Linked DNA regions of Ovis aries. The protein of the gene in region 4 interacts with the protein of the main gene of each other region in a pairwise test. Links are inferred from orthologs where the notes say so. Each region holds a gene or a part of one and is shown on either strand. Other genes may lie near its edges. The genes, in order: FOXR1, ZMIZ2, C1H1orf94, BANP, CEP76, PPIF and SH3RF2.

Region 1 (3,500 bases), on a different chromosome or scaffold from region 4:
CCTGGGCTGCAGCATGCCAGGCTTCTTTGTCTTTCTCTATCTCCTGGAGTTTGCTCAAACTCTTGTCCATTGAGTGGATGATGCCATCCAACCATCTCATCTTCTGTCGCCCCCTTCTCCTTATGCCCTCAATTTTTCCCAGCATCAGGGTCTTTTCCAATGAGTTGGCTCAAAATTGCAATATGATAAGTTAAAGAAAAGGTAAACAGAACTTTTAGGTTACAGGCTTAGACTGGGATGGTAGAACTTGGTGATTGACTGGGTGTGGCTCTATAGCAAAGAGGAGACAAGAATGATTTCCACCCACAGATATAGAAAACAAGCTTATGGTTACCAAAAGGGAAGTGAAAGTGAAGTGAAAGTGAAACTCTCTCAGTTGTGTCTCTTTGCGACCCCATGGACTAGAGCCTGTCACGCTCCTCTGTCCATGGAATTCTCCAGGCAAGAATACTGGAGTGGGGAGCCTTTCCCTTCTCCAGGGGATCTTCCCAACCCAGGAATCGAACCCAGGTCTCATGCATTGAAGGTGGATTCTTTACCGTCTGAGCCACCAGGGAAGCCCTGAAGGGAAGTGAGGGGAGGGATAAATTAGGAGTTTGGGATTAACAGATACATATTACTATATATAAAAAAGATAACCAACAAGGACCTACTGTACAACACAGGGAACTATATTCAGTATCTTGTAATAACCTATAATGGAAAAGAATCTGAAAAAGAATACATATATATGGGTGTTGTTGTTTAGTCACTAAGTTGTATCTGACTCTCTTTTGACCTTGTTGACTGTAGCCTGCCTGGTTAAAGTGCTTGTGGGTTATCCCATAGACAGTTATACTTAAGGGCTAGCAGAGAAGTCTAGGCTAGAAATAAAGATATGGAAGCTTTGAGTTTATAGATGGTGACTGACTGAAGTAACAGGCATTAATGAGATGGTTCAAGGACATAATGTGGGGTGAGAAGGGAAGAATGCAGAGGATAATGAGAAGGTCAGAGAGATAAGGGGAAACCCATAGAATAAGACATCACTTCCCAGGCAGGGCCCATAGCCATCTTCCAGGGAGGCTTCAAGGCCACAATGGAAATCCTAGGATGTTTTGACTCTCTTTCTTTTTGCCAGTTGCCAGATATAAACTCCGAATAGTTGAGCCACCAATGCTACTTCTGGAAAAAAAACCCAACCCTGATAAAGATGGTGAGTGAAGGGAAGTGACATGGCCCTGTGGCCTGGGTGGGCTGCCCAAAGTCCTTGGGCTACGGGCCACAGTCTCTTTCTCTCTCTATTGCAGGTCTAGATTTTGAGCCCAACTTGTGGATGTGGGTAGACCCCAACATCATGTTCCCCCCTGGAAAGCTGGAGGTCCCGGAACCCAGTAAGGGGAAGAATCTGACAACCACAGCTCCCTCCCCTCAGCCAGTCCCAAAAGACTTTGACAAATGTCCGGAGGCCACAGAAGTGGAGTCGCTGTCACCCCCTGGAGACCAGTCTTCCCCTTGGAAGCAGTTTGCCACCTCCCCCGGCAACTGGGAGGTAGGGATTTCTGGGGTGGGCTCTAGGCAGGGAGTGGGCCCAGGGATGACGCAGCAGAGGGCTCTGTTTTCTTAGGACTGACAAAGGGTTAGTGGGTTCAGAAATTAGCTGTGCCCCCCATCTTCTGGGGTGGGGAGAAGCCCAGATGGTGGCCTTGGCCCACGGCCCCTTCCTGCCACCGCACCCCTGGAGTCGAGACCATGGAGTCAGGACCAGTTCCTACTCTGTGCTCCTCCAGCTCACAGAAGAGAAGGAGGCAGAGGACCAGGATGACCGCTCCTCTGTGGCTCTCCCGTCCTCTCACAAACCGGCCCCCCTCCAGAGTCGGAGGCTTCGGCAAGCCAACAGCCAGGAGGGGAGGCTCTGGTCCCGGCCCCCTCTCAATTACTTCCACCTAATTGCACTGGCATTAAGAAACAGTGCCCCCTGTGGCCTCAACGTGCAACAGATCTACAGTTTCACTCGGTATGTGCCGGGGCCCTGTGAGGAGGGCGAAGGGAGGGGGCAGGGCCCTGCTCTGATACCTTCCAGTAGGCTGGGGGCCCTGGGCTGCTGCCTCACCTCCCCCACATGTACCCCAGAGGATCCCTCTCTGTTCCCAGGCCCTGGTTCCAGGTTGTCCCCGAATATGTGTCCTCACCTCACATAGACAGGATAGCCACCACCACCCCTCACATCTAAGAGACTCCAACCTTTTTATAGCTTAGTTCTTTTTTTTTTTTTAAGTTTTTGTTACAATAATTCTTTCTCTTTTATGTTTTGTTTTTTGACCATGAGGAATGTGGGCTCTTAGCTCCCTGACCAGGGATCAAACCTGCTCCAGTTGCATTGAAAGGCGAAATCTTAACCACTGGACCACCAGGGAAGTCCCTATCTTAGTTCTTCAAAACATATTTTCACCTGGGTCATAAATTCTGTCATCTTCCCTCAAGATCCCCCAGCAGTTTCTCACGTTTTCCCTTTGGACTAAACTAATCTGGCACGGCCTGTCCCCCAGGGACCCAGGGAAGCCAAGCTGAGAAAGGATTTACATTGCTTTCTGACAGTCAGGTACCCATGAGTATGAGGAGTTTTTTGGACCTTTTCCCTCTGTTAGAAGAGTCAGTCACAGAATATTAATCCTCAAGAGGTGTCCTCCTTGACCAGGATTCCTCTGACAGAAGCTGTTGGCCTGATTTTAGCTCTGTTCAGTTGTCAGTCCTGAACCCTTGGAGGGAGGGAGGAAGGAAAGCGAGCCTGGGAGTGTAGGGGCAGTAGACTGAGTTCAGAGGGTTAGGCTTTGTACCAGCTGCGCAGCCACAGGCCTAGTCAGCACAGTGCCTCGTGGGCCAGCTTCTGCTTCACCACCTTGAGAGGAGGGCTGGGGGCTCCTGGCCCCTGGGTGAGAATGTTCTCCAGGAGAGGCATCTCCCAGGAAGACCACCCCTCTCCTGACCATTCCTCCATGTCCACAGACAACATTTCCCCTTTTTCCGGACGGCTCCTGAAGGCTGGAAGAATACCGTGCGTCACAATCTCTGTTTCCGAGACAGCTTCGAGAAGGTGCCGGTCAGCATGCAGGGTGGGGCCAGCTCACGGCCCCGATCCTGCCTCTGGAAGTTGACTGACGAGGGACACCGCCGCTTTGCAGAAGAGGCCCGTGCCTTGGCCTCCACCCGGCTGGAAAGGATCCGACAGTGCATGAGCCAGCCAGGTGTGAGGCCTTGTCACACGTGAGGCCCAGGGGAGGGGACCTGAAGATCCTGACCCGAGGCTGGGTGTGCATGAAAGGAGCTAGGGTCACACCAAGGTGGAGGGGAGGGGCAGCTTCTGGAGGGAGGGGAGAAGCCAGAGGTGTTCTGAGATGCTGGGTGGTGCCTGCCTGAGGGGTCCTCACAGAGACAAGCATGGCAGGTGAGGTATCGGGAGCTGAGGCGAAACAGCTGGTGCTGCTCACAGCCCCGCAGCCTGGGGAAGTAGTGACCACATG
Region 2 (3,449 bases), on a different chromosome or scaffold from region 4:
CTTTCTCTCCTTCTGTTCCCTCGGGCAGAAACAGGGCTGCAGAGGAGTAGGAAGGCGCACACCTGGGGTTTCAAGATGTCAGTGGGCAACTTGGAGTACCCCCATCCTGGACACTGCCCCGCATCCACTGGGGCCGGTCTCTGGGTGTGCTACCCCCTCTCCCCAACAGGGCTCATAAGCCTTTTCTGCTGGACTGGAAGGCCCATGGGGCCACTTGGGCAGTGAGCGCACAGATGAACCAGTGTCCAGCTGGTCAGGCACTCAGACCCTGCTCCTTGGCCCCACAGCTGGCTCCACGCCTGAGGCAAGCCCACACAGTGACGTGGTGGCAGATGTGTCTCCCAGTCCTGGTGACACTTCACAAATAGCTCTCTAGCCAGAGCCAACTTGGAAAATTCCAGGGACAAGGAAATTTACCACGGGTTGCAAATAGCTGGGCCTTGCTTTGAGCAGGGAGCCCCGCCCATGTGTGGTAAGCAGGTTGAGCAGGAAGGAGGGACTGCCAGGCCCACCACGAGGGAGTCCTTTAATAGAGACAGGCAGACAGGGGACACGACTTGGCCCTGCACCTAGAGTGTGGTGGCCCCTCCGCCCCCACCTGGCGTGGCCCCAGGGTGGACATGGGAGGAGAGGTGGATTTAAAAAACACTGTGGGACCAACTCTTCACGCTTACAGAAAAGGGCAACTTGGGGGGAACAGGCTGCTGGAGAATCTGCACGTGGAGCTGAGTCTGAGCCCAATGGCCAGCAGGAGGGAGCCTGCTGCCCCCCACCCCTCCTGGCCTGCACATGGGTGAGGGCAGGAGCCCACGGAGACCCAAGCTGCACAGAGGGACCAGCCACCCTACATCTATTAGTGTTTCTACACTATGTACACTATTGTGCTTTAGAGCCCCCAACCCCCAGCCTCAGCCTGAAGCCCCTGCCATAGCGGGCTGGGCGAGACTAGGCCCCAGGACAGAGTAACCCACTCTTTGTTGGCCTAGGGCCAAACGGGTCATTGAAACAGAAAGGTCAACGCTGGACAAGATGCAGGCTGGTGGGAGCAGGCGGGGTGGGGGCCTGGGTGAGGCTGGAGTTCAGGGGTGGTGGGTATGCATGAACCAGGCAGGGCTGGACAAGCATGGGCTGGTACAGATGGGGGCAGGGCTGGGCATCTCCTCAAAAACAGTTCTGCAGCTGCAAACTGGGCCAGTGAGAACCCTGCCCCAGGGCTCCCCTCCCAGCCAGTGCAGTTCGACCTCCAGCAGCCAGGTGTCAGGGGTGGGTCCCAGCTCCAGGTGTATACGTGGGGAGGGCCGCTGGTGTCAGGTGAGGCTGGGCTGGAAAGAATGGTGCGAGACATCGGTGGGCATGTCCCTGTCAGCCAGGTGGTCGACAGATAGGATCAGTTGTTCTCGAAGAGAGAAAGCAGGTCATCGTTGCTGTTCGTGGGGAGGTCGGGTGGGCCCAGGTAGGACAGCAGCTCATCAGGGTTAGTCAGTTCTGGAAGCAGCTGGGGACAAAGCAAACCTGATAGCAGCTCTGGCCTCAGACCTGCCACATCATCTCAATCGGGTCCCCAGGCCCAGCCGGGAAGTGGGGTGCCCCCCCCCACCAGCCTCCAACACAGGCTAGCACCAGAGCCCCTCAGCCTGCTCCTCACAGGGCCTCTTCCTGCCAAAGACTGCTCTGCAACCAGGAATCACTTGTGTTAAGCTGTCCAAGGACAACATGGGACACCCCAGCCCGTGAGGGGTCCTGAACACGAACAGCATGAATGCAGAAGGTGGAATTTTCTGCTTTGAGCTGTGCTTTCCACACTTTTTCACGTTGAACTTTGTATTCATTTATCAGGATGGAGGGACAATCACCTGTCTTTTATGCACTGGTTCTGGCTCGCACACCACCTGTGAGTCAGACAAGTCAAGTCAGACCCTAAGGCCGGTGTCATTGGCCACAAGCCAAGTCTTCCCGGGGACTCTGCATGTGCCACGTTGGCGCACAGGTCCCGAGAACCAGGTGCCTGGACACAATCACCCCATAGCTACTCTGACACCTGACACTCAACAAAACTGCTGGCATCACCCAACCAGCTCTCCCCAAGTCTGGAAGCCATGGAGGAGTCACTGTCTTTGCTTCTATGAAGTGCACGGACCCTGGGGACAACAGATAAGCACCCCTGAGCCCCAGCTCCAAGTGCTCCCCAGCACAGGGCCCAGTACTCACGTCCAGAGCCGGTTCCGGGGCCTCCCCTGCCCCAGACATGGGGGCCCCCATCATGCCTGTGGCAGCACTGAAGGCCAGCTCGCTGAGAGGCCCCGAGTTCACTGGGCCCAGAGCTGGCCGGGATGCTGGGGGAGGGTTTGGATGATGCAGCTGGGGCCCTGGGGGGCCTCCAAGGTTAGGGGCGTGCAGCCCCGGGGGCCCGGGGTTATGGGCTGGGTCCAGGTGACCTGCTGGTGCCATCTGAGGAGGAGAGAATAACCTAGTAAAACAGCTCGAGGGCTCCCTGGGGGGACACCTCCACAGCCCCTCGACTTGACACTGACCTGGCCTGGGAGGCAGGGGCCGGACTTCTCTGGCGTAAGGAGGTTGCTGGGAATGTCGGATTGATAGGAGACAGGCGGAGGCCCTGGGGTGAACTCAGTCAGGGTTGGGGTGCTGGGTGTGGTGGGTGGGAAGGATTCGGGGAAGGTCCCGGGTCCCAGGAAGCTGGAACCTGAGAGAGGAGAGCCAGATCCAGGTGAGGGCAGGGGGCTCATGCTGGCTGAGCCACGAGGGCAGACTGGCCACAGCACGGGTGGGACTCACTGCGCTCGCCCAGAGGATGCTGGCCTTTATGGAAGTTGCTACTTGGGAAAGGGCATTTCTTCTCGTTGTTGCTGGGGGAAGTGGTCATGACACTGCCAGGAGGCTGCGAGGGGACAGGAATGGGACCCACCACACCCAGATACTCCCACCCGCAGGGCTGGATGGGGCTGGTCTGGAAGTGTGCCAACACAGACCTCTGTTCCAAACCTCTGGGGAGGTGGGCACAGCCATAGCCTGGGCCCCGCTGCCCATCCCCCACACCCAGCTGGGCATCTGTACCCCCAAGTCCCCAACCAGGCCCCCAGGCTTGCGGACCTCAGAGCAACGTGTTCACAGGCGGCAGGCTGGTGGGAGAGGCTGGATCATCGCCCAGGGCCCTAATTTTCCAGGGCGAGTCCCGTGTACTCACCCTGGCTAGGGTAGTCGCCAGGGGCCGGGGCTGAGGCGGGTTGCAGAGGGGTGAAGGGCGCGGCACCCGGGCCCAGGGCAGCGATCATCTCCATCACGCTGGGCATGAGCATGTGGGCAGGGCTCACAGTGCGGCAGCGCTTCAGCACCGGCCCATCTGGCTCTTCCTTGACGTGTAAGTCAGGCTTCACCGGCACTGGCTTCCAGCTGCACGTGGGGTCGATGGTGATCTCCTCGTAGTCAGAGCT
Region 3 (3,500 bases), on a different chromosome or scaffold from region 4:
TAAGCTCTTGGTTCGGACTATGGTTTAAATCAGAATGGACATTTATTTGATTTTTTTTTCATCTCTCTACCCAGTGGGTGGCAGCTCTTACAGGAGATTAAGTTAAATAGACGAACGAAAGAAACTACATTTTCCCGGAGTAAATAAGTTGTGTGAGTAAAACCGTCAGCCTTGCAAGCGTTTCCCCCACCCCTTTGTGTCTGACGCCTCTTAGCTCTCAGTCCAAGACCAAGACTGTGTACCAAGCCACCTCAGCCGGTAGAAGCTAAGATTGCTAGGTTGTAGTTGAAATAAAACGGCCACATAATTTGTCATCTGGGACGCTTGAGAGTGAAAGGGGGTACAATGAATAATTATGCTGGGACAAAAGACCAAAACGGGGACTGTCCCAAGTAATCCAGGCCACGTGTCATCCGACTACAAAGCAAGCCCCAGGAGGCGGTGGGAAACGAGGACTGTGCCGTCGGTCAGGCTTCCCTGGGAGCCCAAGTACTTCACAGCCCAGGATTAGCCAAGCGGCTCTGAAAGACACAGCACAGAGTGAGCCGGAATCCAGACAAAGGAAAATGAGAAACAGGCACACGTGTGTGTGTGTGTGCGTGTGTGTGCGTGTGTGTGCACGTGTGCGCGTGTGCGTGTGTGCGTGTGTGCGTGTGTGTGTGCATGTGTGTGTGCGCGTGCGTGTGTGTGCGTGTGTATGCGCGTGTGTGTGCATGTGTGTGTGCGCGCTTGTGTGTGTGCGCGTGTGTGTGTGTGCGCGCGCGCGTGTGTGTGCGCGTGTGTGTGCGTGTGTGTGCGCGCGTGTGTGTGTGCGTGTGCGTGTGTGTGTGTGTGTGTGTGAGATGCATGCGCACGCGTATCTGGCAGTCGGTCTGATGGTGTCCCTGTGAAGAAAGTAACTAATGAGCCCACGGCTCTTTGTGAATGAGGCTCCTTGTGAGCCACAGCGCCTCCCTGGACGGCCACCACCGGATAACTGGGCCCGGACCTGCTCACTCACCTGGTACTGGGGGAAGGTGGAGGGGTTTGTGAACACGGGCGGAGGTGCGTAGTTCAGGTTGAGCCAGAGGGGCTGGTTCAGAGTTGCTGAGGTCAAAGCGGTGGCAAAGCGTGGGGTGAACACGTTCCCCGTGTACTTGAGGTTGTTCTTGTCGGCCCCGGTCACAGGTGGGTTAACTGTAAGTCACAGGAGAGGTAGAACGTTTCGTGATTGAGGAAGGGAGAGGCCAGCCTGCCCCAGCTCCATGACTGCCCCCAGAGTTAGTGTTCTCACCAGTCAGGTATTTTAAGGCTCCCAGAGCGTTCTTCAAAGCTCAAGGAAAACACTGTTAGTTCACATCTTGCCAACGTGGAAGGGGTGAGAGGCCCAGCATGGTCTGCCATGGAGCATCTCCTTCACGACTCACAAGTAAGGAGGCAGTTTAGCAAGAGATACAATCAACCAGCTTGTCTCACCTACGTGCAAAACTATATTCCTTCAAGTGCTTCGGAAAAATCCAGTTTGATACAAACAATTGCTACGCTGTGGGAAGCCATTCTTATCAAATTGTTAAAGCACCCCACTGGGGACATGCACTTGGCAACAGCGAGGACCTTATGTAGGTGTTGCATCTATGCCAGAGTCATTTTTTAAAAATATTTAAAAATATTATATAATCCCCTTTGGTAAGATCCCAAATTAGTCTGAATGAATGATATTTGATGGAGTTGTTTCAGGATATGAATCCTGGATTCTTTCCTTCTATAATATGTCCTGTGGGATTAAGAGTTAGAGATGGGGTATCAGTGTCCCCTTTTTAGCACCTTTTGTTGAGGGGAGAATGTTTTACTAAAACAGTTTTAGATGTACAAGGGAGAGAAAGCTGAGACGTGAATAATCGAAATGTAGAAATGATCTTTTTTTTTTTTTTCAAAATGTAGAAATAATCTTAAAGCACGGGATTTTCTTTGGCTCAGGCAACTTGAGGGGACATAAGACATGCTGAGTCAGGGCTATATTCAAATTAACCACCAATAAGGCCCATGTGACCCCTGAAAGTCAGCTAGATTTCTTGAGCTCTTCCCTGTAGGGGTGACACAGGAAGAAAGCCATTTCCCCATTTTACAGGACTAGGGAAAGACAGTGACCTGCCCATGGATGACAGCCGTTTGAGGACAGAGCTACTCCAGGGGCCTATGAGGGTTTCTGAAATCCCTTCCTGCATAGACTCTCTTCCTGCATAGAGAGATCTGGGCAGGGTCAGCTTACGTTTCAGCTCCAGCCTGTCCACCTCCACTTTGCCACGAAGTTTCAGCTGCCCGCTTGGGTTCTTGGTGGCCCCAAGGACCTCATAGAGCAGGTTCTTCTCAGCCTGCCAGGCAGGCTTCTTGGCCGGCAGAGCCATGGGGTCACTGCCACCCTCCTCACCACAGGTGTCCTTCCGGCTCGGGGACCACTGGCTGAGAAAGAGGCTCTCTCGGCCCCTGGTCAGCTCCTTGGCACCTGGGTTCCGTTCTAGAGCAGGAGAGAAGCTGAGTCAGTGACTCTGGAAGACCACATGCTGGATGGGGGGAGCATGGTCTTGTGGACAAAGTCATGGATCCTCCGCAGCACACCTGAGACTCCCACCACTCTGGGCTCTCTCTCAACCAAGTTCAGTCCAAGTCCAGTCCCTGAAGCCTTCCCTGACCAGCGCCCATGACGGTCTCACACCCTTGCATGCATGAATGCATTCATCCATTCTTGTCTTCTTCCGTCTGTCCACCCATCCATCCATCCTTTTACCCACCCATCCATCTTTCCTTCCTTCCATCCACTCATCCATCCTCCCTTCCCTAATCCCATTCTCTCCTCCTTAAAAAACTTCCTCCCTTTTAGTTCCCTCTCTTTCCTTACCTTCTTTTCTTTCTTTTCTTCCTTCCTCTTTTCCTCCCTGCCGCTTCTTCCTTTCTCCCTCTTTTTGCCTCCCTTCCTTCCCTCTAACCATTTGTAGGTTGGATCACAAAGGTTCCGGATAGTTCCTGTCTTCAGGGAGCACACTTGGCTTAGTGGCGGTGGGGGGGGGGGGTGGTTGGCGCAGACACATTCCCACACAACACGCAGCTGGTCCCTTGTCAGAGACTCTCCTCTTGCTAAGTCGTCGTGGCGATTCAGCACACTCATCAGCGCCAGGCTCTGACCTGAGTCCTGGGGACACTTGGATGAGTCAGAGCCAGACTTGGCCCAGCAGGAACTCACAACACGGAGGAAGAGAGAGACAGACCCAGAAATAGCTCCGGGACAAGGCAGATGGGGACCGTGAGGTGATGGAGGGACACAGCGGGGGAAGAGGGCGGCTGAGACAGCTTCTGTCTGAGGACCGGAGGGATTCCAGGAGGAGGAGGTCTGCAGCGAGGCCCTGCACCCAGAGCCATGGGTGACCGCAGGCAAAGGCACAGAGGCACGAGTGAGCCACTGGCTGCTGCCGGTGCCAGGCTCAGCTCTCTCTCTCCAAACAGACCAAGTCTCCCTTGTGCAAGGA
Region 4 (2,577 bases):
GGATGCGGCTGCACGTTTGAATCATTGTTCCGTCGTTCAGTCCTGTCCTCTGTGCTGACGTGCGTCTTCTCTGTGTCTCAAGGTGCTCCAGGGGGCCCAGCTGATAGCAGTGGCTTCTTCGGACCCGGCTGCCACAGGGGTGGACGGCTCGCCGCTCCAGGGCAGCGACATCCAGGTCCAGTACGTCCAGCTGGCGCCGGTGACCGACCACACCGCTGCGGCCCAGGTGGGTCCTCCCTTCGGGAAGTGCACAGGGCCCGGGGCTCCTGCAGGTGTGGACACGCTTGGGCCTTTCTACCTCGGACCTTCTTCCGTGAGGAAGGTAAGTGACCGTGAGAGGTGCCCGTGTGGACCTAGGTGCTCACTTGGGATTCTGTCTCTCGTAAGTGCCTGGAAGTGTGAAGGTGAGAAGTCGGTTCCTGGCCCAGGGACCAGCTTGAAACCAGTTCTTGAGATGCTCTCAGGCACATGTTTACCTATGAGTTTAGAGACCAAATCAAGTACACCTGAGGCCTTGCTGCTCCTCGTGTTGGGGCAGGGCCAGCCCAGGGTCCGAGGTCCTGCAGGCCCATGTGTGGGTTTGTAACCCCCAGTGATGGTGCTTGGTCAGGAGACCATCATGACCTCCCCTGGGTCTGGGGGAGCCAGACCTGGACTCCCGTGTGGTGCCCAAGCCCGTAGGACAGGCAGAATCATCGGGGTCTGTCAGGGTGTGGTCAGGCTCAGACTGCTGGGGCGGGGGTGACACAGGTATGCTCTCCTGAGCGTCCTCAAACCCAGCCCCTCTGGAGGAGCCCTCTGCTGAGCCCTCAGACTGGCGGGCAGACACCCTGACTCCCGCCACCCCCACTATCGGGAAACGCTATTATGTCCATGGGATGTTTGCACTGAGAAAGCACAGTCTTGAGCCACAGTCGGAGGAGCAGCACCAGCCCCACTGGGGCCTCTGCCTCCCCTGCGTGGCCCCAGGAGCCACCCAGCTAAACTTCATGCCAGGGGAGCCCGCCTCCACTGCCTTTGGCCAGTGGCTTAGGGAGTCCCCAAAAACCGCCAGACCGTCTCTCTCTGGGGGCCCCATTCTTGGTGGCTGAGATGCGTGGTCAGTGACTTACTCTAAGACTGTATTTTTCCCTTTGACTTATCGTAAACCTGTGAATATGCTGACGACTTGGAGGGTGCCCCCAGTGAGAAGCAGGGTGGGAATGGAACCCAGTGCTGGTTGGGGGGGAGGGTGCTGGGGCACTTGTGGGAGGGGTGAGTGGGTGGGCCGGTGGGGGTAAAGCGGAGGCCCTGCAGAGGGACCTTGGCGTCCCCGGGTCTGTCAGTGCCTGGGCCACCAGCCCAGGTGTGTGTTCTACTCTGTGCCTGAAAACCACGCATGTCTGTGACCGGGCGTGGCCTGGGCCCTTTGATGGAAAGCCCTCTCCCCTCTTGCAGGCGGCTGACGCCCTGCAGCCCACCCTGCAGCCTGAGATGCAGCTGGAGCACGGGGCCATCCAGATCCAGTGAGGCTGCTGACCCGCCCAGACCCAAGCCACGCCGCCGCTGCGTGCTGACCCCTGCACGCTGGCCCCTGCCACCTACACCGTTCACACGCGCCCGCCCCTAGGCTTTGCACGGGAGGGGCCTGCCTGCGTGCTGCTGAAGTGCATCCGAGCACCCGTCCATGGGGAGAGTGCCCTGGGAAACGAAGACAATGGTAGCCCCTGCCACCCTCGCCCGGAGACCCTGTTTCTTTTGATCTCCTGGAACGTCCAGGGAAGGAGCGGGAAGCACAGTGCGGTTGCGTCAAGTGCACGCTGGAAATCAAGAACTGCGATATTTTTCTCTGTTTAAACAGCTTTTTTTAATTTGCTATGGTGTTTATAACAAAAAAGAAAATCGAAAAAAAAATGGAGTAGCAGAAACCTTTTGCTGTGTGATCTGTTCAGTGTAACAAGGATAGATGTTCACAGGAGACGACTGATGATTTTGATGGAGACGTTGCTTACCTACTTTTTTAGGGGGATGGATGCGCTCAGCGCTATAATTGTGCGTTTCTAATGGAGTACATGAAATAAATGTATTTATGACCACGGCAGCTGTCGCAGTCTTTCCTCCTGGGAGCTGCCTCCTCCCCAGCACCGCCCCCACACACCGGCGGCACGCCCCCCCACACCGCCCCCTCCACACACCGGCCGCAACCCCCAGCACCGCCCCGCACACGGCCCCCCCCCAACCCCCAGCACCACCCCCCACACACCGGCGGCACACCACCCCCCAGCACCGCCCCCCAGCACCGCCCCCCAGCACCGCCCCCCAGCACCACCCCCCAGCACCGCCCCCCAGCAACACCCCGCACACACCGGCACCCCCCCCCAGCACCACCCCACACATACACCGGTGGCACCCCCAGCACCGCCCCCCACCCCCCGGCGCCCGCACACACACCGGCGCCCCCCACCCCCGGGCCCCCGCCCCGCACCCTGCCCCCCCTCCCCAGCACCACCACCCCACAACCCCCCAGCACCCCCCCGCACCCCGCCCCCCATCACCACCCCGATCCCCAGCACCACCCCCACACACTGGCGTCCCGTT
Region 5 (4,053 bases), on a different chromosome or scaffold from region 4:
GGTAAAGGCTCAGGTTCTTGCAGATGTTCCAAGAAAGCTTTTCCACCCAAAACCTGAAGGTAAAGATACCTCCGTGTTGGATCAATATTAGCTGTAAAGTGTAGCAATACATATGAGGAAACTGCCAATCAACTTAAGCAATGTGATCAAGACAACAGGAAATAACTTGACAGGAATAAAACTAAAGACTTAAAAAAAGGAAGAGTAACAAATCTACTATATACCAGGCTCACTTATACCCAGGGAAGAAAAAATACATAATAGGATATCCTTTTCTGATTTATATTTTGGCTACTTTCTTCCATCTAGACAGGAGTTAGAGCCAAGGTTTAGAATATCTTTTTTTCTTTAGTTTCTTATACAACAAATAATTTCGGATAATTACCAACTCAGCAAGTACACTTATTAGATAATTACACTGCCATTAAAAGAGGCTGTACAATTTATAAAATATATTAATAAAACATGAAAAACAAATAGTCCTGCTTTTGCTTCCACTCAGCTATACATTAAATCTTTGATACACTTCATGCAAAATAGAATCTAAGTTTTTTGGATGATTTATCATAAAACATAAGCACCTCATTCTGGAAAAAAAAATCAAAATGCTTTCTCTCAAATACAAAACACTATAGCACATCTATATGCAATACTATCCACAACTAAATTAATGTTAAAAAGAAATAAACATACTTTTTTTTAATAACGTTGATTGTCTGTCAGTAAAACAAACAGGTTGTTTTGGAGAGGAAGGGAGTTCTTGATCAACATTATCCTAGAATGGCAGAAAAAAAATCATAACAAATTAGAAAACAAAAATTACAGTTAAGAAAATGCCAATAATGGGACTAAGAACTGAACTAAAAGTAGACAGGATAAAGCCCCCTCAAAATGCCCTAACTTTCCTAGCAGAGTCAGAATAATGAAAAGTCTGCTGAAACAATAATGCAGCTAATTAGTCATTCCTAAAGTCTAGCATGAAGGAATTCATGATCTTCAAGCCATGTCCACAGAATGCTAAAATAAATTTTTAACACTTTACAGAAGGTTAAACTTTCTCCAAACCTCATATGACATCTGGCTTGTGGTTCCACCAGGAACAGAACTGATTATAATAAGGAAGTGACATTCACACAGCAGAAGCTATTACTAGGTCAGTTTTTATAACAAATGAGTTTATAAACCTCAAAAACCAAAAAAGGACGCTGGACTAAAATACTTATTCTCTGGTGTATTATGAAGCCCATCCAATTTCCACATTATGTTACCCAGGTATTGAGGTCACAGTCTCTCATTATTGCCTCACTTTCAAAAGACCTACTTACTAATTTGTGCAGAGAGGCATCACCTCACTACTGACCTATTTATATGAAAAGAGTTGAAAGTTCTTATGCAGACAATTAATTTCTTAAAGAAACAATCTGTTCATCTTAGAGAACACAGCACCAAACAATGTGTTTACTTCAATAATAAGCTTTGTGTAGAAAGATTTCAGGATATTAATTTAGAAAAAATACACTTGGAGTGAACTAATTTGACTAATATACACACTTAAAGTTTCAGACCTAGAGTATAAGAGAAAACTCTCACTGTAAAGGGAATAATTAGGTCCATAATTTCAGTTTCACTGATACATAATCCTACCCGCTCCACTCAAGGGTGAAGTAGCTCATTCCTGAGACACAGATATTACTAGACAAAATGGTCTTATTTAAAAAGTAGTTTCACTAAAGAGAGGCCCCAAATTGGACCCTAAGAGTGGTATTAAACATGAGAATGTACTTAAGACTCTCAAATGTCTTGCTCTAAGAGATTACTCACAGTAACAAAATTAAGTTCTTTCATCACATCATCAATGATTCCCCGGCGTTTAAGGGCTTTGATCAAATCTTCGGTTGATAGCTGTTGTTGATCAGGTGCCAATTCTTCCCGAATCGTCTCAGCAAGGATTTCTCTTATCCTGCCATGGACATCCATCTAGGTAGAAAACTCGCATTAGGACTTAAAACGTCATAGAGCAGTCAAAGATAGCCAACTAGCTAACATCTTTGCAAAATATTGACCACAAAATAATAATAATGAGAGAGTAGTTAAACTCAGGAAGGTTTCTCAAGTAACAGTGTGAGATTGTTACCGAAATTCACTGAGAATAAAGGTAAGGTTTTTTAAAGGAAAAAAACTTTAAGGATAAATATTTTTAACTCTAAAAATAAGCTCTAAGCTTATCTATTACATTTGCTAGCACTTCCCCACAAATAACACCCGACTGAAACCAGTCTTTTGAGACTAGAGCAGAGCAGCGGAGGAGCGACCAAAGGCCAAAAGTAAACTCTCTCAACCTTTTAGTTGTGGCCGAGGGTTAACGGAGTGACCCTTTACGCGTCTGGGGGAGGCGGCGGGGGTCAGGACCGCCGCGGGGCAGGGAGACGCTAACACTCGGCACGGGGCGGCGGCTGGAGCCCCGGCTGACCCCGAGGACCGACAGCCCCTCCGTGCCGCCTCCCATGAAGTGACGGCCTCCGGCCCCTCAGCCCTCTCCCCGCGTATCCGCGGTGCCCGCTGGCCCAGCCCCCGCCCGCCCGCCGCCTCACCGCCTCACCGCCTCACCTTGCTCAGCTGCTGGTGGATGAGCTGCTTCAGCTCGGACGCCTTTTCCGGCGGCAGCGACATGCTGGCCTCCCCGTCGGGCACGCCGGCGGCCGCAGCGTCTCCGCGGCGGAGCCAGAGCCCGCGACCGCTCGCCTCGCGCGCTCCGGGGGCGGCCGCGTCAGGCCGGCGGGGGAACCGGGCGGCTCCAACTGCTGTTTCCAAACGGCGGCGAGGCTGTCCCCGCGCCGCCTGTCAGTCACCTCGGCCGGCGCCCCGGCTCGTCTCCGCCCGCAGACTCCGCGCCTTGACCGCCAGCCTGTTCCCGCGCGCCGCCCCGGCCGCCACCCCCGCCCGCAGCCCCTCCCGCGCGCCGCCCCGGCAGGCAGTGGGACGGGCACCTAAGGACCCCGCGACCGGGGCCTCGAAGGACCCCAGGAGTCGCCCGCACTTCCGGCCGCCGGCTCCTTGTGCCGCCGGCGAAACCATGTTCGTACCCTCCGGGGACTCGGTCCCCGACCTCGCGGGGTGCACCCTCCTAATGGTGAGTCGGGGCAGGGGTCTGGCGTCAGAGCGGCCCCCGGACGCGCGCGAGTCTGTGGGGCCGGGTCCTGGTGGCTGTGAGCGAAATGTGCGGGGACGTGACCTTGCGCTCCGTTGGTGCCGTGTGGGCCACTCGCTGTACCTTCTTGGAAAATCTTTTCTCCGCGAGCTCTGTATCGCGCTTAAGCTGGGGAGTGATTGTCGTTAGTCAGGAAACTGCAGACGGGCTGGTAAAGACTTGGCGACAGCACGCGATTCTATCGCGGTTCATTCATTGCTTCAGTGAGCGTTGTGTTGTGTCAGTGTGTAACGGTAAAACCAGGTTCTGTGTCTCAAGGAGTTCGCAGTCTAGTTGGGAACACACGTAAATAAATAAAGTTAGAACGTTGAAAGGGGTACAGAAAGACCCGGGGATTTATTGGGAAGGGGAGGGATACAAAGATCTGTTAAGAAAAGCTTCGTATGTGGAATTAAAAAAAACACATAGAACAGATTGGATGAAAGGGGTCAAAAGTACAAACTTTTAGTCAAAAATAAGTCCTGGAATGTAATTTGCAACGTAGTAACTATAGTTAACACTGTGTTGTATGTTTGAAAGTAACAGAGTAGATCTTAAAATTCTCATCACAAGAAAAAATAATTTTTTGACTGAGTGGTGATGATCGTTAAGTAGACCTGTTGAGGTAATCATATTGCAATGTGTACAGACGTTCAATCACAATGTTGTGCACCTGAAACTAACATATATGTATCCGTTTTTAAAAGGACGATGGTAATAGAAAAGTCACTTTTCGACAGTTTTCATAATGAAAGCAAGAAATGTCAGTGGGGACTTCCCTCCTGGTCCAGTAACTAGTACTCTGCGCTTCCACTACAAGGGGCATGGGTTTGATCCCTTGTCGAGGAACTAAGGTCCTGCTTGTG
Region 6 (2,238 bases), on a different chromosome or scaffold from region 4:
TGTCCCTTCTGGCTCAGAGGCTACAGACCACTAGTATCCGCCACCTCCTGGGTCTCCCTAAAGTCCTTGGAAATGGGCTTTATTAAGTTTTAGCTCCAGGCCAGCTGTTGTCCCCTCACCCCGCTGAGATGCCTCAGGGTGAGGACATAGGGGACTCTGGGAAGCGAAAACTGATTAGGTAGTGGGAAACTGACCTGGGAAGACATCCCTAAAATACAAGGGCAATGGGAAAGAGGGTTCCAGCAGGGCTGGTGGCTGCAACAGGCTGGTGCTAATGCCTGATGAGAAATCCGGTATGATATCCAAATGTTGTCTACTGCAGCATTTTCCAAGGTGCAGCCCAAAGTTAAATAAGCTGGGAAACGGCAGGTTAAACCGAGTGAGCAAGCTTCTGCCACAAGCCATCCCGAGGCCTGATAAGTTCTGCAGCATCTCCCCAATGTATTTGGTAAGAGAATTCTTTCCTGTGTGTACGTGTGCATGCTCAGAACACTGAGAAATTCCAGCTACAGCAACAATGGGAAGCCTGATAAAAGACAAGAGTTGCAAAATAACCCAAATTCTTCCTCAATGCTTTTGGGGCCTTTCTCCTCTTACACACTCAGCCGGGTGAGGGCTACTGCCCCAGAGCAGAGAGTTTGGCCTCAAACTATCCTCCCGCTCCAGCTCAAGGCCACCCCTGCTACCCTGAGGGCCTGGACCAGGAGCTGGCAACTCACCAGTCTGTCTTTATGGTGCAAATGAAGAACTGGGAGCCGTTGGTGTTGGGGCCTGCATTGGCCATGGACAGAACACCTGCGAAAACAAGCGGGATGAGCAGGCTGCCCCAGGAGGCATCTCACCTGGGAACTGTTCAAGAGCAGATGATGCACACCACAGGAAGGATGCTTGCGGCTGAAGATACTTGGGGCTCAGAAAAGGAGAGCCAAGCCCAGAGCACACAGCCACCCAGGGCCTGTCCGCCTTGATGACACAGGAGGGAAGGGCCTCCTGGAGGCTCTCAGTGGTAGAGCAGGGGCAGGACCTCCAGCCCTGAACTCTAGCTTTTTCCACATTTCACGTTGGGTCCTAAAGGTAACATAAAGCTAGGGCTTTGCTTAACGGCTCTCAGAGCATGGTGGTCAAAGAAAGATTTGTTTTTGAAACTGAGAGCTCAGGATGAAAAAGCCTCTGGGACAATCCAGTAAGCCCACCCATCACCCTGAAGGAGGGAGGATGTGTCCCTAGATGTGGAGCCATCCGGTTGCAGCCTGCAGGCCTGCTGGGGTGGCAGCGCCAGGCTCACAGCTCAGGGCACATGCCCAGGTGGGGACTGACAGCCTTACTCACCCGGCCCCTCGTGCTTCAGCTTGAAGTTCTCGTCAGGAAAGCGGCTTCCATAGATGGACTTTCCCCCCGTGCCGTTGTGGTTGGTGAAGTCACCAGCCTGCGAACACGGAGCGCTAGCTGAGTGTCGCCACTAGAGCTGGCAGAGGGGTGCTATTCCCATGCTGGGACACAGCGCCCAGCCCCCCAGGGCCTACCCAGCTGGGAGCCCTCAGCCAAAGGGGTCAGAAAACACCCAGTGATAGAAGGGCTAATATAATGCTAAGGAACGTAAGCAACAACAAAATAAAGGTTTAATACTTTCTGCCCCAATAACTACCCTGGTTTCCGAATGATTCATTTTTGTCTGAGTGAGATTTTAAATGATCCTTAAAAATTCTCAGCCATTTCGAGCTGCTTCTTAAGAGACCTAGAATTTTCTACCCACAACTCTTGAAGGGTAAACAAGGAGGAGGCCAGGAGTCCCTGCTCCCCAGTGTGGTCTGCGGGTAGCTGGCACAGAGGCAGGTCCCTCTGCTGAGCCCCAGTTCCTGTCCCAGCATCTCCCTTTCACCCGGCCTAGGACAAAGTCCACCCAGGGCTGGTGGTCTTCCTCACGGCTTGCCCAAGGCTTCCACAAGGAGCCACAGACAGAAGAGCCCAGGGTCTGCCAGCCCCAGGCCCCAGCCCCCATCATATTGCTCTTTTCCTGAGATGACCTCCTCGGGTAACAGGGATGACCTGACTAGCCCTGCTTTTGAAGCATCCACAAATGCCAATAAGGTGTCCCCAGAGAGGACCAGGCCTCCCCGTGCCTGGTCCCACCATCCCATGCCTCCAAGAGCCCACCAGCTTTGGAGTCCCTGCCCTTGCCTACTGTGGTAAGAGTAAGATCCTAGCCCAGCTTGGACATCCGCTTCGGCTTCTGCTCAA
Region 7 (3,500 bases), on a different chromosome or scaffold from region 4:
TGCATGTGTGAATAAACTGGAAAATTTACTGAGACAGAAAATACCAGGAAAAGAGTAGCTTTGGGAGAAAAGATCTTGAGTTTTTTTTTAGACAAGCTGACTATAGGAAGACCATGAGATTTCCTAGTGAAGTCTCAGCCTATGACAGCCTTCTGCCACCGTGCTGTGCTCAGTCGTGTCAGACTCTTTGGGACTCTGTGAACTGTAGCCCGACAGGCTCTCTGTTCATTGGATTTTCTGGGCAAGAATACTGGAGCAGGCTACCATTTTCTCCTCCAAGGGATCTTCCCGACCCAAGGATCAAACCAGTGTCTCCTGAATTGGCAGACAGATTCTTTAATGATGAGCCGTTGGGGAAGCACTGATAATCTTCTGGGAGGGAGCAAATCCTCTCTTCTGAGTCCTTTGTCATAATTTCCCATTTATGTGTCTGCTCCTTCCACTAGACTGCTGGCTCCATGAAGATATGGACAATGACTCTTCACTGTATCTGCATAGACAGCCTGGTACATGGATGAATTCAATGAATGAGCAAGTTCTTGGGTAAGTGTCCCAGTTTGCAAATTCCCAGAGAGGGGACACAAAAGCAGATATGCTCCCTGCCTGTATCTTCCTCTGGCTGTGTCCCCAGAGTTCAGTGTCTAATGCCAGGCATAAAGTAAATACTCAATAAACGCTTGTGGAATTGAACTGCTGTCCTCTGGCTGTAGCCAAAGTATAAAATGTGCAGGTCGGCTAATGAATGGTATTCTTTAGGGGACTCACTCTGAGGTGTGAAGACAATAACAAAGATCAGTATTTCATAATATGGAGGACAGTGAAGTTATCTGGTCTGAGGGAATCTGAAGCAAATTTCATTTCAGGGAGTGATGGAATAAAAATGTTTTACAAAACAAAAGACTTTTCCTGAACTTACTGTAGCAGTGTTACTTGCACTTGTATTTGACTTAAGTTGCAAAGAATAAAAATTACCCCAACTTTAGTTTCTATGAGAAAATTAGAATGTTTAGGGAATAATAAGTACTGAATTTTGTTGTTGCTCAGTTGCTACGTTGCTAACTCTTTGCAGCCCCATGGACTGCAGCATACCAGGCTTCCCTGTCCTCACTACCTCCTGAAGGTTGCTCAGATTCGAGACTTAGAGTACAGTTGACCCTCTGAATCCACGGACCCTGCATCCTCAGGACTCACTGTGTCCTGGATCCACCCCCTCACCCTGAATATACAGGGATGGCTATGGTCTAGACTTCAGCAGACTTGTTACTTACAAATGGTGAAGAATCAGCCAATAAAAAAGAGAGGTAAAAAAAATCGTAGGGTAACTGATGTCCTTGGAAAATATATCTTGTAAGAGGTTATCTATGTGTAAAGATATAATTATGTTATTGTGTGTGTTTGGAATGGTTTTTAGAAATGTACTTATTTATCCATGGTTGTGATGGGTCTTTGTTGCTACACACGGAGTTTCTCTAGTTGCAGAGAGTGAGGGTCATTCTTTGTTGTGGCGCGCGGGCTTCTCATTGCGGCGGCTTCTGATGTTGCGGAGCACAGGCTCTAGGCATGCAGGCTTCAGTAGTTGCTGTTTGGAGTGTTTTGAAGGCAATGTCTACAGACAAAATAGTGTTGTAAACAAGCAGTAGTGACCTTGGTCAGCAAGAATATCCTTGCAGACACTCAATGAAGAGGTAAGATCCGTAGTTCTATAGAGCATGCTATTAAACTATGTTTACAATTTTCTGTCTAACCATCTGTTTCTCCCACTACTCTGCCCAAGCACAGATGCTGTGACTTGTTCATGCTGGCTCCCCAGTGTCTGAAAAGAACAGGTGGTCACAAGTGGCTGCAGAATGAATGAATGAATGAGGGTATGGATACTTGGTTTCATAATTGCAATACAAATGTTTGAGAACCTCCATCAGACTCCTGTTAGATTTCTCTGGTGGCTTCACCTCCATACAGTTTGAAGTATGCAAACACATAACATATGCAGGCGCACGCTGTTCACTGATGTTTAGTCACTAAGTTGCGTCCGACTTTCCAAGACCCCATGGACTGTAGCCCACCAGGCTCCTCTGTCCATGGAATTCTCCAGGCAAGAATACTGCAGTGGGTTGCCATTTCCTCCTTCGGGAGATCTTCCTAAGCCAGGGATCAAACCTGCGCCTCCTGCATTGGCAGGTGGATTCTTTACCACTGAGCCACCAGGGAAGCCTGTATAAAATGTAATTCTAAAACATCAACAAACAACTTAAGTTCTGCCACAGCCTTTATGTGATCACTGGTGACTTTGGTGGCTTCTCAGAACCTCACCTTGAGGAAGGTCAGGCAGTCCTGGTTCTCACTCCTGTCCTTGTCACGAAGGTGGAAGTTGTAGAGGGCCCGGCACAGTGGGGGTGGCTGGGGCAGCTGCTTGATGACCTCCACGGAGCTGGCCGGGAAGACTCCACTGACTCCATTAATCTCCCCCTGGTACCAGTTCTCATCCAGCTGTCTTCGGAGGAGGATGACATCTCCCTTATTAAACCTCAGGTCACCGGGATTCTGCCCTCGGTAGTTGCATAAGGCCTTTGCTCGAGGCACCTGCAGTGATACAGATCAAGAAAATATATATGGCTTAGAGGCTGGAGGGACCAAGGGGGTCACATTAGTTACTAATTACAGAGTACTTTCCATGCACTAAGTGCCATAGGTGGATTACCTTGTTTAACCTTTGAGACAGTATTATCCCCGTTTCTAAGGTGGAGTGACTGAGGCACAGAGAGGTGTAGTAACTCACTTCAGGTGGCACAGCCGGGAAATGGTGATATGGGGCTTGAACTCAGACAATCTGATTTTAGAGACCCTGTTCTTAATCACTATGCAGGGAGCAGGACTTTGAACTTGACTCCGCAACTATGGGAACTTGGGTAAGACCGTGACTCTTGCTAGGAATACTGATTTTGAATTCTGGCTTCACCTCTTTGCTCTTATGTGACTACAGTCAAGTTATTTCATCTTTCTTAAACCATGTTCACTTATAAGATGAAGTGATAACAATATCTACCTTATTAGAGTTGCTGTGAGGACTAAAGGATATTAATGATGCATTTGTATATTACTTCATATTGTGCACAGAATGCGCTCAACAGATGACACTTCTTAGAATGATCATCTGTAATGTAGGGCTAATGATATCAGTTCTACCTACTCCTCAGTGTTAATGGGAAGAAAACTGAGGTGAAAACTCCCTGAAAATAGAAAGTGCTATGTGAGAGTGATACACCATAATTTGTCTTCAGCCTTGTCTAGAAACTGAAAACCCCATGTGTGTTTGTGTCTTTAGCAAGCACAACTAAGACAAATTAACAATCAGAAATCAATCATCACTTAAAAATATTCAGCTAAAGAATTGTTATTTGTCAAATCAGTTGTCAGTCTAAACAATTATTTCAGTCAAATGCATTTTTTTCCTAATTGAAACTGGTTTCTCCACAGAGAAACGGTCTCACTCTGGTCTTGCT

What was found.
Region 1: the proteins of BANP (region 4) and FOXR1 interact in binary tests that used the Homo sapiens proteins (3 or more experiments, as listed by UniProt). The two-hybrid records come from large-scale screens. The link is inferred for Ovis aries from reciprocal best matches to the Homo sapiens genes BANP and FOXR1.
Region 2: the proteins of BANP (region 4) and ZMIZ2 interact in binary tests that used the Homo sapiens proteins (3 or more experiments, as listed by UniProt). The two-hybrid records come from large-scale screens. The link is inferred for Ovis aries from reciprocal best matches to the Homo sapiens genes BANP and ZMIZ2.
Region 3: the proteins of BANP (region 4) and C1H1orf94 interact in binary tests that used the Homo sapiens proteins (3 or more experiments, as listed by UniProt). The two-hybrid records come from large-scale screens. The link is inferred for Ovis aries from reciprocal best matches to the Homo sapiens genes BANP and C1orf94.
Region 5: the proteins of BANP (region 4) and CEP76 interact in binary tests that used the Homo sapiens proteins (3 or more experiments, as listed by UniProt). The two-hybrid records come from large-scale screens. The link is inferred for Ovis aries from reciprocal best matches to the Homo sapiens genes BANP and CEP76.
Region 6: the proteins of BANP (region 4) and PPIF interact in binary tests that used the Homo sapiens proteins (3 or more experiments, as listed by UniProt). The two-hybrid records come from large-scale screens. The link is inferred for Ovis aries from reciprocal best matches to the Homo sapiens genes BANP and PPIF.
Region 7: the proteins of BANP (region 4) and SH3RF2 interact in binary tests that used the Homo sapiens proteins (3 or more experiments, as listed by UniProt). The two-hybrid records come from large-scale screens. The link is inferred for Ovis aries from reciprocal best matches to the Homo sapiens genes BANP and SH3RF2.

The regions. Positions count from the first base shown.
Region 1 is NC_056068.1:29,296,059-29,299,558, forward strand, and holds part of FOXR1 (forkhead box protein R1), read left to right. Parts: intron 1-400; exon of another isoform or gene 401-526; intron 527-1,120; coding exon 1,121-1,195; intron 1,196-1,289; coding exon 1,290-1,531; intron 1,532-1,769; coding exon 1,770-1,996; intron 1,997-2,985; coding exon 2,986-3,224; intron 3,225-3,500. UniProt on the Homo sapiens protein: Transcription factor which acts as both an activator and a repressor.
Region 2 is NC_056057.1:78,405,727-78,409,175, forward strand, and holds the end of ZMIZ2 (zinc finger MIZ domain-containing protein 2), read right to left. Parts: intron 3,448-3,449; coding exon 3,203-3,447; intron 2,702-3,202; coding exon 2,532-2,701; intron 2,449-2,531; coding exon 2,209-2,448; intron 1,890-2,208; coding exon 1,854-1,889; intron 1,496-1,853; coding exon 1,388-1,495; 3' UTR 501-1,387; downstream 1-500. UniProt on the Homo sapiens protein: Increases ligand-dependent transcriptional activity of AR and other nuclear hormone receptors.
Region 3 is NC_056054.1:9,141,673-9,145,172, reverse strand, and holds part of C1H1orf94 (uncharacterized protein C1orf94 homolog), read right to left. Parts: intron 2,495-3,500; coding exon 2,249-2,494; intron 1,177-2,248; coding exon 1,001-1,176; intron 1-1,000.
Region 4 is NC_056067.1:12,999,131-13,001,707, forward strand, and holds the end of BANP (protein BANP), read left to right. Parts: intron 1-82; coding exon 83-322; intron 323-1,437; coding exon 1,438-1,509; 3' UTR 1,510-2,077; downstream 2,078-2,577. UniProt on the Homo sapiens protein: Controls V(D)J recombination during T-cell development by repressing T-cell receptor (TCR) beta enhancer function. Binds to scaffold/matrix attachment region beta (S/MARbeta), an ATC-rich DNA sequence located upstream of the TCR beta enhancer.
Region 5 is NC_056076.1:43,561,647-43,565,699, forward strand, and holds the start of CEP76 (centrosomal protein of 76 kDa), read right to left. Parts: upstream 2,801-4,053; 5' UTR 2,671-2,800; coding exon 2,608-2,670; intron 1,978-2,607; coding exon 1,822-1,977; intron 776-1,821; coding exon 694-775; intron 92-693; coding exon 1-91. Other genes in the region: PSMG2 (proteasome assembly chaperone 2), read left to right, coding at 3,074-3,130. UniProt on the Homo sapiens protein: Centrosomal protein involved in regulation of centriole duplication. Required to limit centriole duplication to once per cell cycle by preventing centriole reduplication.
Region 6 is NC_056078.1:34,158,271-34,160,508, reverse strand, and holds part of PPIF (peptidyl-prolyl cis-trans isomerase F, mitochondrial), read right to left. Parts: intron 1,427-2,238; coding exon 1,330-1,426; intron 796-1,329; coding exon 720-795; intron 1-719. UniProt on the Homo sapiens protein: PPIase that catalyzes the cis-trans isomerization of proline imidic peptide bonds in oligopeptides and may therefore assist protein folding. Involved in regulation of the mitochondrial permeability transition pore (mPTP).
Region 7 is NC_056058.1:54,955,529-54,959,028, reverse strand, and holds part of SH3RF2 (E3 ubiquitin-protein ligase SH3RF2), read right to left. Parts: intron 2,581-3,500; coding exon 2,311-2,580; intron 1-2,310. UniProt on the Homo sapiens protein: Has E3 ubiquitin-protein ligase activity. Acts as an anti-apoptotic regulator of the JNK pathway by ubiquitinating and promoting the degradation of SH3RF1, a scaffold protein that is required for pro-apoptotic JNK activation.